Linked DNA regions of Xenopus tropicalis. The protein of the gene in region 2 purifies or fractionates together with the protein of the main gene of each other region. This does not show direct contact. Links are inferred from orthologs where the notes say so. Each region holds a gene or a part of one and is shown on either strand. Other genes may lie near its edges.

Region 1 (6,355 bases), on a different chromosome or scaffold from region 2:
ATAGAATGTTCCAACGATTCTAGAGAGAAATATCTAGAACGAAGTGGATATAAGTCATTTTACCTCAATGTCAAAGCCCACGTTCTTGTTGCCTTCCTGGTGCATTGCGTAGAGTTTGGAGATGATCTCATTGGCCTTGACACCAGAATTTTCCGCCAATGCTCTTGGAATGGACTCAAATGCTTCGGCAAACTTTTTAATGGCGTACTGGTCAAGCCCAGGGCAGGTCTGCAATGAACAAACAGGAGATAGACTGTAATGGGATCTCTGTGGCTTGTACTCTGTTGTCGTGGGAGGTACAGTTCATATGCAGGTTTACCTCTCCATAAGATGTGATCTGTTTTGCCAACTCAACTTCAGTGGCTCCGCCTCCAGGCACAAGGCGCTTGTCCTATAATGAACGAGAAACACAAATAAACATGGTTTGGTCCATACTGAGTACTGTTTGTGGGCTGCAAGTGCGGAGGAAACATCACTGACCCTTGTGAGGATTTTGAAAGTATTCACGGCGTCATCTACTGCTCGTTCCACATCGTCCATGAGATTGTCTGTAGAGCCACGGATCACAACCGTAGCAATGGCGCCGTCTTCCTTTTCTAAGGGAAGAGCAATGGAGAGAAATCAGGAAAATTCGAAAATGTGAAAGGTAACATGAATAAAACATTAACTGCACTGCTGCCTTTAAAGGGAAAGTTTGTTTCCATAATAAAGATACACCTTAATTTAACCAGAAAGGACAAGGACTCCCACTGAATACAGTAAGGATTCTGCACACAGATTAGGCACCTCCCTCCAAACCCAGACTGTAAAGGTGGCCATACACGTAAAGATCCATTCGCTTGGCAAGGTCACCAAGCGAGCGGATCTTCTTCAGATATCCCCACCTACGGGTGGGCAATATCAGGGAAAATGTAGGCTAATTCGATCGTTTGGCCCTGGGGCCAATGGGGCAGACAGTTCGGGGATCGCATCAACGAGCCGATGTGGTCTCCGATCCAAAGAAATCTTTTAACCTGCCTGATCAATATCTGCCCAATTTTAGGCCAGATATCAGTCGGGCATGCCCCTTGTTCCTGCCCCTACACAGGCCAATAAGCTGCTGAATCAGTCCAAGGGACCGATATCGGCAGCTACAATTGGCCCGTGTATGGCCACCTTTACACACTAGCTGCACTCCCATTTCTTGTCTGTGAGAAGGAAAGGGGTGACCTGTGTTAGAGCCAATAGAAAGCAAGGGAAACATTAAATAACATACCGTGCTTGAACACAACAACCTGTGTATCCCCAACTTCTGACAAGTAAACACTGTCACAGCGCCCCATTTCCTCTGCTGTAGGAGGGGTCTGTAAGAGAAAAACGTGTTTGTAGAGGATTAAATATTTTTATGGTTAGAGAACAACCTTAATAACCAAAGACTGGGAAACCTAGCCCTAAAATAAATATATACACCTATAAAAGTCTGGTTCGCATTAATGATGTACAGGTCGACAAATATCTGTGCTCCAACCCTAACCCATACCTGATCCAACTGCTCTAAGGCCTAATTATTCGACTGCACTGTAATATTTTCTGGGGTGATAACTGGCAAAGATTACCAGATATTTCTATTTACACACAGCTATGAGTACATACATGTCTCTACCATGTTGCCACACATGCTTCCACATTCATGTCAGTTGCATGAAGGGCACTGGGTATTTCAGCAGCTGTATATGCAATACTTACCAGCCTGGGAAGGGCAGTTCCACACACAGTTTTGCACAGTCTTCTAAGATCCCATTTGGAGTTTAACCTAAACGAATAGAAAATGCATCTATAAGACTGCTAATATAGCTAATAAACATCAACTCTGCCTGGTAGCCAACCTCATATTATACTAATCAGACTGGGACCAGTCACACAGTGCTAAAGTTTTACTGTATCAGATACAAATAGAGGGGTGCTACTCTATGTTAGAGACACAAATCCTTCACTGATTATTTTATACTATTTAGGGTTACTGTATATACTCGAGTATAAGTCGATCCGAATATAAGCCGAGGTACCTAATTTTACCTAAGAAAACTGGAAAAACCTATTGACTCGAGTATAAGCCATGGGTGGGAAATACAGCAGCTACTGCTAAGTTTCAATAATCAAAATAAATACCAATAAAATTACATTAAATGAGGCATCAGTGGGGTATATGATTTTCAATATTTATTTCAAAGAAAAACAGTACACTAGCTCTCTAAGTGGAGAAGAGGGACAACTACAACAATATGGTATCAACAATGATACCTTAAGAGTATTACATCCCCTTAGCTCAATCAGCAACCAAGCTAAAACACAGTTAAAATCCTTCAAAACTATATATAGTTTATATAGAATATAAAGTGCAATGTCTAGTGCAGAATGGGACAGGTGAGGATGGTAGATAAATTTGAGAGAGGCCAGGGCACTGGAGGGTCTGGTTGTGGGTGGTTTAATTTGCACACAAAAGGAAAAGAAGGGTGCCAGTCTGGAGGGACCCATGACACCCGACCCAAGTATAAGCCGAGGATGACTTTCAGCACATTTTGGGTGCTGAAAAACTAGGCTTATACTCAAGTATATACAGTACTTTATATAAACATAATAGTATCTGTACTACTTTGCCACTAAGGGAGGTGTGTAGAGAAACTACCATAATAGAAGATGCAGTTTCCTGCCTGGAAAGTCTCCAGAGAACCCTGACTGACTGGCCAACCTACCCGGCGGCCATATAAATCTGGACTAAGGGATCTTATGGCAGGGACATAATAGGGACACAGCAGACAAAATGGTGTTTGATGGTAATCTATAGAGGCGCAATGTCTTATCGGGCAAAACACAGCACTTACCTTACTACCATGAGGTTGTACTTGTTTGCGTAATGGAGAGCCATGTCAGCAACTTTGCCCCCTGTCACAAGAACAGTGGCCCCTGCTTCTGCGATTGCCTTTACTTGCTCTTCCATGAGATTCTCTTCGCCTTTGCTGAAGTTCATCAGTTCCTGCGCGCTGTTTATCAGCACGGTGCCCTATTAAAACATACCAGCAATTTCACTCGAGATTTCTTCCATTAAATAATCAAACCATTTCCATTACCCATACAGCCTTGCTCTAGGGTCCCTGGCGAGGCAAGAAAGCTGCCACCTTCAATCTGTTACTCTCCAGTTATTGTTGAGCTACAACTCCCAGAGTTCAAAATTGAACCCTGAAGTCTATACATATTACTAAATGCCTTTTAACCTTACTCTGAAGGTGTGGCTATAATTCTGGAGGTCCACGAAAAATGCCCTTTATGCTACAACCAGATCTGGCTATAAACTTGTCTTAATGATGTCTAATATATGTTGTAGATAAAAAAAAAACCTTTAATATTTTATACAACAGCAGACTTCCCATGACGTGCAAAAACAAAAAGAAGCCAGAAATGGATACATTTATGACCCGCTCTATAAATGGAGTACTACTAGCACTGTAGGTTGCATGATCTATGGCAGCAAGGGGAAATAATCCTCGCCGAATAGCATCTGATTTAGCTATGATATGGTTTTAATGGAGAGAATCTGGTAGAATCAGGGTTGTCCCACCCAGAGATAAAGCCAATATGTTGCACCGCCTCACATACCTTAGTTTCAGTGATCATGCCGTCGAATGGACAGGAATAGATTGCGATTTTGGCATCTTTCACAGAAGAAATATTGCCTTCTGCTTCCTTTTTGAAAACCATGCCGTGCAAGACAGACGAGGCACAGATACCTGAGCCCTGCAAAAGTCACAGTAAACCCCAGGATTACTTACAGAAGATACTTTGTTTGATTTCAGCAACTAGAGTGCAACCTCGACTTTGTATTCCAGGGTCGTAGGGGTTAATGGGATGCAAAAGCCAGGGAGGTATATTTAAAAATTAATACGATCTGTAAAAATTGCCCCTTTATTGGAGCTCCCTATAGATCCTCTCAGGTCCCTGTCTGTGTTTCAAATGAGGGGTGGGCGTGTCCTAATGGTCCCTGCCAGAAGCACAGTGGGAGGGGCATAGCCAATCCCAGCCCTAAAGTCACACAAGCAGACAGGCTTCAGTTCCCTATCAGGTAAGCCTAGCTGCTGATTGGTTCCAGTGCTGGGTGTTGCCGGCCCTCCTGTACAGCTTGGGAAAGGAGGCAGCAGGAAATGGCACAGATGGGTGGGGCTAGTAGCCTTTTGGGAGAAATTTTTTTTTTAAAGCCCATTCCTTCTATATTTAGATGAGTGCAAATCATTGGCACAATCCTGTTTTTCACACAATATGTCCCCTTTAAAAATCAGGTGTCAAATATAGAGAACTCTAAAACCAAGGAATTCTAAGGGAGTCACCCCTAGGTTGTAGATGTGTCTCACTTACCAAAATCTTGCACACTCTGATGTTATCAACATTAAAATGGCCAGACTCGGGCAGGATGGAGACTAAAAGAAGAACGGAGCTCATTACAATAACAAAGGGTATATGGGCAGTCACAGACAGTAAATCCCTGGGACATATACTTACCACATGCCTGGGCAATGAGCTTAGAAAGGAAGAGCTCGTTGCCATACTGCTTGCTCATGATGGAAGTCTGAAGAAGGGACGCAACTTCATCAATGTCACGTAAGTTCTTGGCAGAGCTGCACACCAGGTCGGGGAGGATTTCCAAGGCTTTCTTACAGGCCTTCTCATAGCCTTCGATCACCTTTAGAATCACAACACAGTAAATGTAACATTTTTCTGCCAGCTCTCATATCCACCCATTAAACTTAACTGAGTTGAAAGTATATCCTACCTCGGATACAGACAGTCCCATTCGCAGAAGCTCTTCTGCCAGCTCAAGTAAAGCGCCAGCAAAGACCAGAACAAAATTAGTGCCGTCTCCAACTTCCTGCTCTTGCATGTGGGAAGCCATGACAACCATTTTGGCAGCCGGATGCTGGACCTGCAGGTAACAACACTGAGTTATCAATCACTTCCAACCCCCAATGCTCAATGTATCTGATCAAGGAGACTGGTAGCCAACCAATGAGATGGCTTCTTTCCCATGCTGATAGTAACATAAATGTGCTTTTTACCCACCTCTAGCTCCCGTATAATGGTGGCAGCATCATTTGTAACAAAAAGCTTCTCCAAATGATTGATAACCATCTTGTTCATTCCTAAATGATACAAAAAGAAACAACATTATTACAGACAGCCAAACAGTCTACAGGGCGGTGTAGCAAAGAGTTCAAGAAACGAAATCCCAGAACCTTTTAGTCGAAGGAACTTGCCGATATACATTCATTGAACCTTTTCACTATGTGTAAATGTAATTGCTATGGAAAGCAGTGCGTGTCTGGCTGCTTATATTCTCTGCTTTGCTGGTTCTGACTCATGAAATAATGTAGTAGGCCTGCCGATTTACAGGCCCACAGGAGAACTAAAATCTTCTACAATGGCTTGGGAGCAAGAACTGGAGAAATAAACATACACGACTGCACTTACATATCTGTTATAGCTCACAACCACTGAAAGTGCTTAATTCTTGTAAAGTGAAGCACTGACTGAAATAACATTTTCTTACTTTGTGCAAAAAGCATTTCTTGAGTCAGTATTCCCGCAACAGACAAAAAGAAAATACCCATGAGACAATTTACCATTCGGCCCATACGCTGTGCGAGTAGTCTGAGCGAGCTCTTTACAGGCCTGGATATTCCGGAACACTGCTTCTTCCAATCCAGAATAGTGCTGCGAGAGAAATAAGAAAGCATGCAGCTCACTTAGTATAGCCACCAACAAATATTTATTTATTTATATAGCGCCAACATATGCCAATGCGCTGTACAGAGATATATATATATAGTAGAAAGTGAAGATGTCCCGCACTCACAGGTCTTAGGTTAAATAAAAGGAGTTTATTCAATCCACGCCTTTTATTTAAAGAGCAAGTAAAGTCGATTACCATTGCACAACTTAGCAAAACTTAGTTTACATCCTGTGCATTCTAACACTGCAATGTTCTAATTTAAGTCCCCTGTAAGGAAATATCTACTTTAAAATCAACCATGTACCTCCACTTCTTTGTATGGCACTGCTCTCCCAGCCTCCTCCCAAGCATCGCTGTCCTGGACAGTGTCTGAAACGAAGCATGCGCAGTATGCGCTCCTGCACACAGCATGAAGGGTCACGGGTCATAATCACGGGGTCAGTGGGTGGATGCGATGCTGGAGCATGCGCATTTTGACACTCGTCGTGAAGCCAGAAGCAGGGGGAATTAAAGATGGCGGCGCGTACCAGCAGAGTGAGTGAGGATGCATAAAAGCGATTTTACAACAAACGGTACATATTTTGCTGGTTTTGATTT
Region 2 (6,355 bases):
TGTTAGGCAGTTTGGGGAGTCTGTCACTGGCCCCATATTATGATATAAACGCTCTGGGGGCTCAGTGTGGGGGTACAGTGTTCCTCTAAGGAAACTTCTACAATGTAATTGATCAGGTCCCACTCTTAGCAACTTTTCAATTGGTCTTTATAGTTTTGGAAAGGCTTTCCTTTTCTGCCTCTTTCCAGCTTTCAAGTAGGGGTCACTGACCCCGGCAGCCAAAAGCCTATTGCTCTGTGCGACTCCAGTTTAGACCTTTTCTTTACATTCAGTCCTATTCTTATTCATCTCCCAGTCACATCACTGCCTGGTTGCTAGGGGAAATCTGACCCTATCAACCAGACAGCTGCTAAAATTCCAAATTTGAGAGCTGCTGAAAGTCCTAAAATCACAATAAATACAAAATAAAGGCCAAATGCAAATTGCCTGAGATTATTACCGTATGCACTATAATAGTCAATTAAAGGGCAAGTAGTCCTTGATGCGCACAGTGTAGGTGTCACTCACCTGGTCCCTGTCCCTAATGTGGGAGTAGGGCAGCTCCCCGGTCATAAGCTCAAACAGCACGATCCCATAGGAATAGACGTCCGACTGGAAGCTGAAGGGGTTATTGTCCTGCATGCGGATCACTTCTGGGGCCTGTGGGGCAGACAGGGGGCAGTTTAACTACAAACCTTGGGCATTTAGTGGTTAATGCAGTGGAACATACAGTAACTATGGCATCCACAGGTGGGGGTGCCTTAAACCTTGTGCCCCCCAAGAAGGAAAGGCAGCCTCTGATTCGTCACAGCCCCTAAGTAAAAGGAGAGACAGCCCATCTGCTTGGGGGCGTGGCCAGCAATTCCCCGCCCCATATTATGAATGTGACCTAAAAGCTCAGTCCTAAAAGTAGATGCAGAAACCCAGTGACACAAATGGAACAAATAATCCTGTGTTTATTGGGTAGAAATGGGCCCAATATCTGTTCTGCCCCTGTAAGGGCCACATCACAGGGCAACTATATCCAATCAGAGGCAGACACAGCTCAGCCCCCTCTCTCCCATAGGCCAGATACAAAGAATGAACCGCCACTCTCTAAATGCTCCAGGTAAAACAGAAGCCCCTCCCAGTGCCCCTCCCAGTGCCCCCATATGAGCTGTACCCGGGCAGTCCCTACAAGTTGCCCACAAGTAGCCCTGTATTACAGAGCCCCATCCTTACCATCCACAGTATGGAGCCTGTCGGTTGCTCCACCTGCTGGGAACCGCTCCACCTGCTCTTTACCGTGGCCAATCCAAAGTCTCCGATTTTCACGGTTAACCCCTCATGGAGAAAGATATCTGTCCAGCGAATCAAGGCCCACAACTGAGCTCTGACAAGGTCACATGCTGCACAGTGACCAATGCCCAGTCACAGGAGTCATTACTGGCTCCGAGCGGGATATCATGGTACCCAAGTACATAAGCAGAAAGTAACTGCCCCCCAGGCACCAAACAACTGCTCCCCCATCCTGCCCCACAGCACCCAAGAATTACCTGCTCCCTGATAAAATATCTATAAGGGGGGCCCGCAGGATTAATTCAAATGTGATTACATGTTAAAGGTGACCAACTGCAACTATTCCCACCAACAGCAGCCAATGTTCCCCCACCCCCCTTTAGCTGGGGAGATCTATGCCCCAGATGATGCCCCAAGTAGCCCCCCATTTTCTTTTCTGCCGATTCCCAGCACATGCTCTGTGCTGCTGTCAGTTACCTGCGCTTAGGGACCCCCCACTACATTATACAGTATATAGTATATACACACAATACCGCTCCCAATATACAGATATACACACACACACTTTAGCAACAAATGAAACAACTGTGGGTAGGTGGGTAGGGTGCAGGGCACAGGCAGGGGGGGGGCCTGGGGCTCAGCCTGGCACAGAGGGCAGAAAGGATACTGTTGGATTTCATGTCCCGGTGGATAATATTCTTTGCATGGAGGTAACTGAAAGACAAGCAGAGAGACAATGAGACAAATGCTGTAAGGAGAGATTCTGCCGGTAATTACACTGCCTGTAACGAGCGCTATCCCACTGCCGGTAATTACACTGCCTGTAACGAGCCTAGAGTTTCCCAAGTTGCACAATTCTAAAACAACCATTATTTTGCCATTTTCCATTGAATTTTCAGTTCTAAGCTACAGCAGGTTAACTGGGCAAGGAGAGAGAGGCCAGGAAGGCAGAGACAGACCGGCAGAGAGAGGCCAGGAAGGCAGAGACAGACCGGCAGAGAGAGGCCAGGAAGGCAGAGACAGACCGGCAGAGAGAGGCCAGGAAGGCAGAGACAGACCGGCAGAGAGAGGCCAGGAAGGCAGAGACAGACCGGCAGAGAGAGGCCAGGAAGGCAGAGACAGACCGGCAGAGAGAGGCCAGGAAGGCAGAGACAGACCGGCAGAGAGAGGCCAGGAAGGCAGAGACAGACCGGCAGAGAGAGGGCAGGAAGGCAGAGACAGACCGGCAGAGAGAGGGGCCAGGAAGGCAGAGACAGACAGGCAGAGAGAGGCCAGGAAGGCAGAGACAGACAGGCAGAGAGAGGCCAGGAAGGCAGAGACAGACAGGCAGAGAGAGGCCATGGAAGGCAGAGACAGACAGGCAGAGAGAGGCCATGGAAGGCAGAGACAGACAGGCAGAGAGAGGCCAGGAAGGCAGAGACAGACAGGCAGAGAGAGGCCAGGAAGGCAGAGACAGACAGGCAGAGAGAGGCCATGGAAGGCAGAGACAGACAGGCAGAGAGAGGCCAGGAAGGCAGAGACAGACAGGCAGAGAGAGGCCAGGAAGGCAGACAGCCAGGCAGAGAGAGGCCATGGAAGGCAGAGACAGACAGGCAGAGAGAGGCCAGGAAGGCAGAGACAGACAGGCAGAGAGAGGCCAGGAAGGCAGACAGCCAGGCAGAGAGAGGCCAGGAAGGCAGATTTATACTAGTGAGTCACAGCAGGTCCCAGCAGGACACATACAGGACCCCATAGAGGGAAGGGATCACCCAAAGATGCTGAACATGAATGGCCGAGTATAACAAACTCACAGCCAGAAAGCATTCACTAGTCCCCCCAATAAGTAGAGGGGTGCCCCCCACAGGGCAGTACTTACTCCATCCCTTGTGCCGTTTGCCTGGCGATGTCGATGAGCTGGAACATCTGGAACTTGGTCTCGAGGACATGGAGATGTTTGTACAGGCTGCTCCCCTCACACCATTGCGTGACGATGGCCAGATTCTCCTTGGTCATGTAGCCCATGAAAAGCAGAATGTTAACGTGCCGCGTTTTCCTTTGGGACAGGATAATAATACGGAGAGAAATGGGGTTATGGGAGTTGCAGTGAGGCAGCAGCGCCTGTTGTTCTGCTATGGAGCAATGGGGTCTGGCATACAGACGTAAACCTAATTAACAGCTTATTGGCCCCTGAATGGGGCCCTCGGAAGGACCTACCCAACTGATATCTTTTTGGTAATTGGGCAGTAGCACATGCGTGCATAGCAGGTTTCTGTAGGCCGGCAGTATGATAGGATTATTGGGCCAGTACCTGGCTAACCAGCTCAGCATGCAAGTGGCAAAGTCAGGGAGAGTTGTCGGTGCCCAGCCAAGCTACACTCAGTAAGGTAGAAAGAGCCAATCAGATGGTTAGCTCTTGGGCAGATCGTCCAGGACTCACCTAAGTACAGCAACTTCATTCCTGAATGCCTGGAGCTGCTCTGGCGTTGGATTGGTCACCTTCAGGATTTTCACTGCCACGTCCCCTGCCAAACAGAACAAGCGATTAGAGTGAGTAACATCATATATATTATACACAGGGTGGGGGCCGCTGATGCGCTCATTCATAACTAAGCCACTAGGGGGCGCCGCTGGGGATGCAATACTGCACAGCAGGTCATATTGACATATTGGTACAGCAATGGCTGCTCACCCCACATCTCCCAGCATGCTTTGGTACAGCAATGGCTGCTCACCCCACATCTCCCAGCATGCTTTGGTACAGCAATGGCTGCTCACCCCACATCTCCCAGCATGCTTTGGTACAGCAATGGCTGCTCACCCCACATCTCCCAGCATGCTTTGGTACAGCAATGGACAAAAAGCTGGTACAATGGCAGCTCCCTGCAAAAGGTAGTTTTTCTTGGTGTGTTGGTATGGGCAGCTTATGTCTCCATGCAGTGTAACAAGCCCAGTAACACGGGGGGGCAGCCAGGAAATCCCACCGCGTGACAGACACTCCCGAAACCCTTGCCCAAGTGGGACATTCTTCATGTCAAGTACAAGGAGAACATTTGGAGCAGACGTCAGGAATCCACATGATGTAATTCCCAATTTAGGGACAACGCCCGAAGTTACAGCCACTGGCCAAAATCTTATTTTGCTTCCTTCTCCTTTCCATGAACCGATACCGGCCCCGGCCCAACAGCTTACATGCACAGAGGGTAGTGCTGGGCGGTATGACCAAAAATTTATATCACGGTATTTTTCAAAATTATATCGGTATCACGGTATTTGACGGTATTTTTTTTCCCCCATGCATGATTAGGTGACCACCCCAAACACCCGCCACCCGCACCCCCCACCACCCCCCCATCCGCACGCAGCCCCCCCACCCCCCCATCCGCACGCACGTCCCCACCCCAAACACCCCCCCATCCGCACGCACCCCCCCCACCCCAAACACCCCCCCATCCGCACACACCCCCCAACCCCACCCCAAACACCCCCCCATCCGCCACACTCCCCCCAACCCACCCCAAACACCCCCCCATCCGCACACTCCCCCCCCAACCCACCCCAAACACCCCCCCATCCGCACACTCCCCCCAACCCACCCCAAACACCCCCCATCCGCACACACCCCCCCCACCCCAAACACCCCCCATCCGCACACACACCCCCATCCGCACACCCCCCCCACCCCACCCCACTCCAAACAGCCCCCCATCCCCTTCACATAAATATAACCCCCCACCCCACCACAACCCCCCCAAACACAACCCCATCCCCTTCACATAAGTATAACCCCCCCATCCCCTTCACATAAATAACACCCCCCCATCCCCTTCACATAAAATATAATTACTTGCCAGGCACCCCCACCAGCTCACATTGGTATCCGACTCTGAATGCGATGGCGCTTTTGTAGAGTGTGCGCGCTGACGTCACGTGCGCGCTGACGTCACGTGCGCGCTGACGTCACGTGCGCGCTGACGTCACGTGCGCGCTGACGTCACGTGCGCGCTGACGTCACGTGCGCGCTGACGTCACGTGCGCACTGACGTCACGTGCGCACTGACGTCACGTGCGCACCCGGAAGTATTCAAGCACACCGGTATGGGGGTATGTAGAAAATACATATCGGTTTAAAAAAAAACACCGGTGATCGGTTTTTACCGGTATACCGCCCAGCACTAACAGAGGGGACCCCAATGCTTCACGGAACTAATGGCCCCGGGGATATCACAGTGCTGCAATGGGCACAAGATCCTTCTGAACAGCCATGTACCCCCAGCACTGGCACACAGCCAGGGAGCTGGGAAGTTGTGCCCCCCCCCCCCCCTCCCTGAATCAGTGGTACTGGCAGATACATTAGATAGGTACAAGGAAGGGGAGTTACAGGGGGGCTGGGAAGTTGTGGGATCCCCCCCCCTGAATCAGTGGTACTGGCAGATACATTAGATAGGTACAAGGAAGGGGAGTTACAGGGGGGGCTGGGAAGTTGTGGGATCCCCCCCGAATCAGTGGTACTGGCAGATACATTAGATAGGTACAAGGAAGGGGAGTTACAGGGGGGGGCTGGGAAGTTGTGGGATCCCCCCCCTGAATCAGTGGTACTGGCAGATACATTAGATAGGTACAAGGAAGGGAGTTACAGGGGGCTGGGAAGTTGTGGGATCCCCCCCCTGAATCAGTGGTACTGGCAGATACATTAGATAGGTACAAGGAAGGGGAGTTACAGGGGGGCTGGGAAGTTGTGGGATCCCCCCCCTGAATCAGTGGTACTGGCAGATACATTAGATAGGTACAAGGAAGGGGAGTTACAGGGGGGGCTGGGAAGTTGTGGGATCCCCCCCCTGAATCAGTGGTACTGGCAGATACATTAGATAGGTACAAGGAAGGGGAGTTACAGGGGGGGCTGGGAAGTTGTGGGATCCCCCCCCTGAATCAGTGGTACTGGCAGATACATTAGATAGGTACAAGGAAGGGGAGTTACAGGGGGGCTGGGAAGTTGTGGGATCCCCCCCTGAATCAGTGGTACTGGCAGATACATTAGATAGGTACAAGGAAGGGGAGTTACAGGGGGGCTGGGAAGTTGTGGGATCCCCCCCCCCTGAATCAGTGGTACTGGCAGATACAT

Evidence for each region. The genes of interacting proteins can lie anywhere in the genome.
Region 1: the proteins of raf1 (region 2) and cct8 purify together in Homo sapiens (affinity purification with mass spectrometry; 4 studies listed by BioGRID and IntAct, with this or other methods). This does not show direct contact. The link is inferred for Xenopus tropicalis from reciprocal best matches to the Homo sapiens genes RAF1 and CCT8.

Annotation. Positions count from the first base shown.
Region 1 is NC_030678.2:16,667,477-16,673,831, reverse strand, and holds part of cct8 (T-complex protein 1 subunit theta), read right to left. Parts: intron 5,740-6,355; coding exon 5,649-5,739; intron 5,169-5,648; coding exon 5,089-5,168; intron 4,952-5,088; coding exon 4,802-4,951; intron 4,712-4,801; coding exon 4,531-4,711; intron 4,449-4,530; coding exon 4,387-4,448; intron 3,772-4,386; coding exon 3,634-3,771; intron 3,041-3,633; coding exon 2,862-3,040; intron 1,793-2,861; coding exon 1,726-1,792; intron 1,344-1,725; coding exon 1,256-1,343; intron 597-1,255; coding exon 481-596; intron 392-480; coding exon 320-391; intron 229-319; coding exon 64-228; intron 1-63. UniProt on the Homo sapiens protein: Component of the chaperonin-containing T-complex (TRiC), a molecular chaperone complex that assists the folding of actin, tubulin and other proteins upon ATP hydrolysis.
Region 2 is NC_030680.2:153,464,657-153,471,011, reverse strand, and holds part of raf1 (RAF proto-oncogene serine/threonine-protein kinase), read right to left. Parts: intron 3,759-6,355; coding exon 3,674-3,758; intron 3,290-3,673; coding exon 3,113-3,289; intron 1,972-3,112; coding exon 1,925-1,971; intron 1,320-1,924; coding exon 1,201-1,319; intron 640-1,200; coding exon 508-639; intron 1-507. UniProt on the Homo sapiens protein: Serine/threonine-protein kinase that acts as a regulatory link between the membrane-associated Ras GTPases and the MAPK/ERK cascade, and this critical regulatory link functions as a switch determining cell fate decisions including proliferation, differentiation, apoptosis, survival and oncogenic transformation.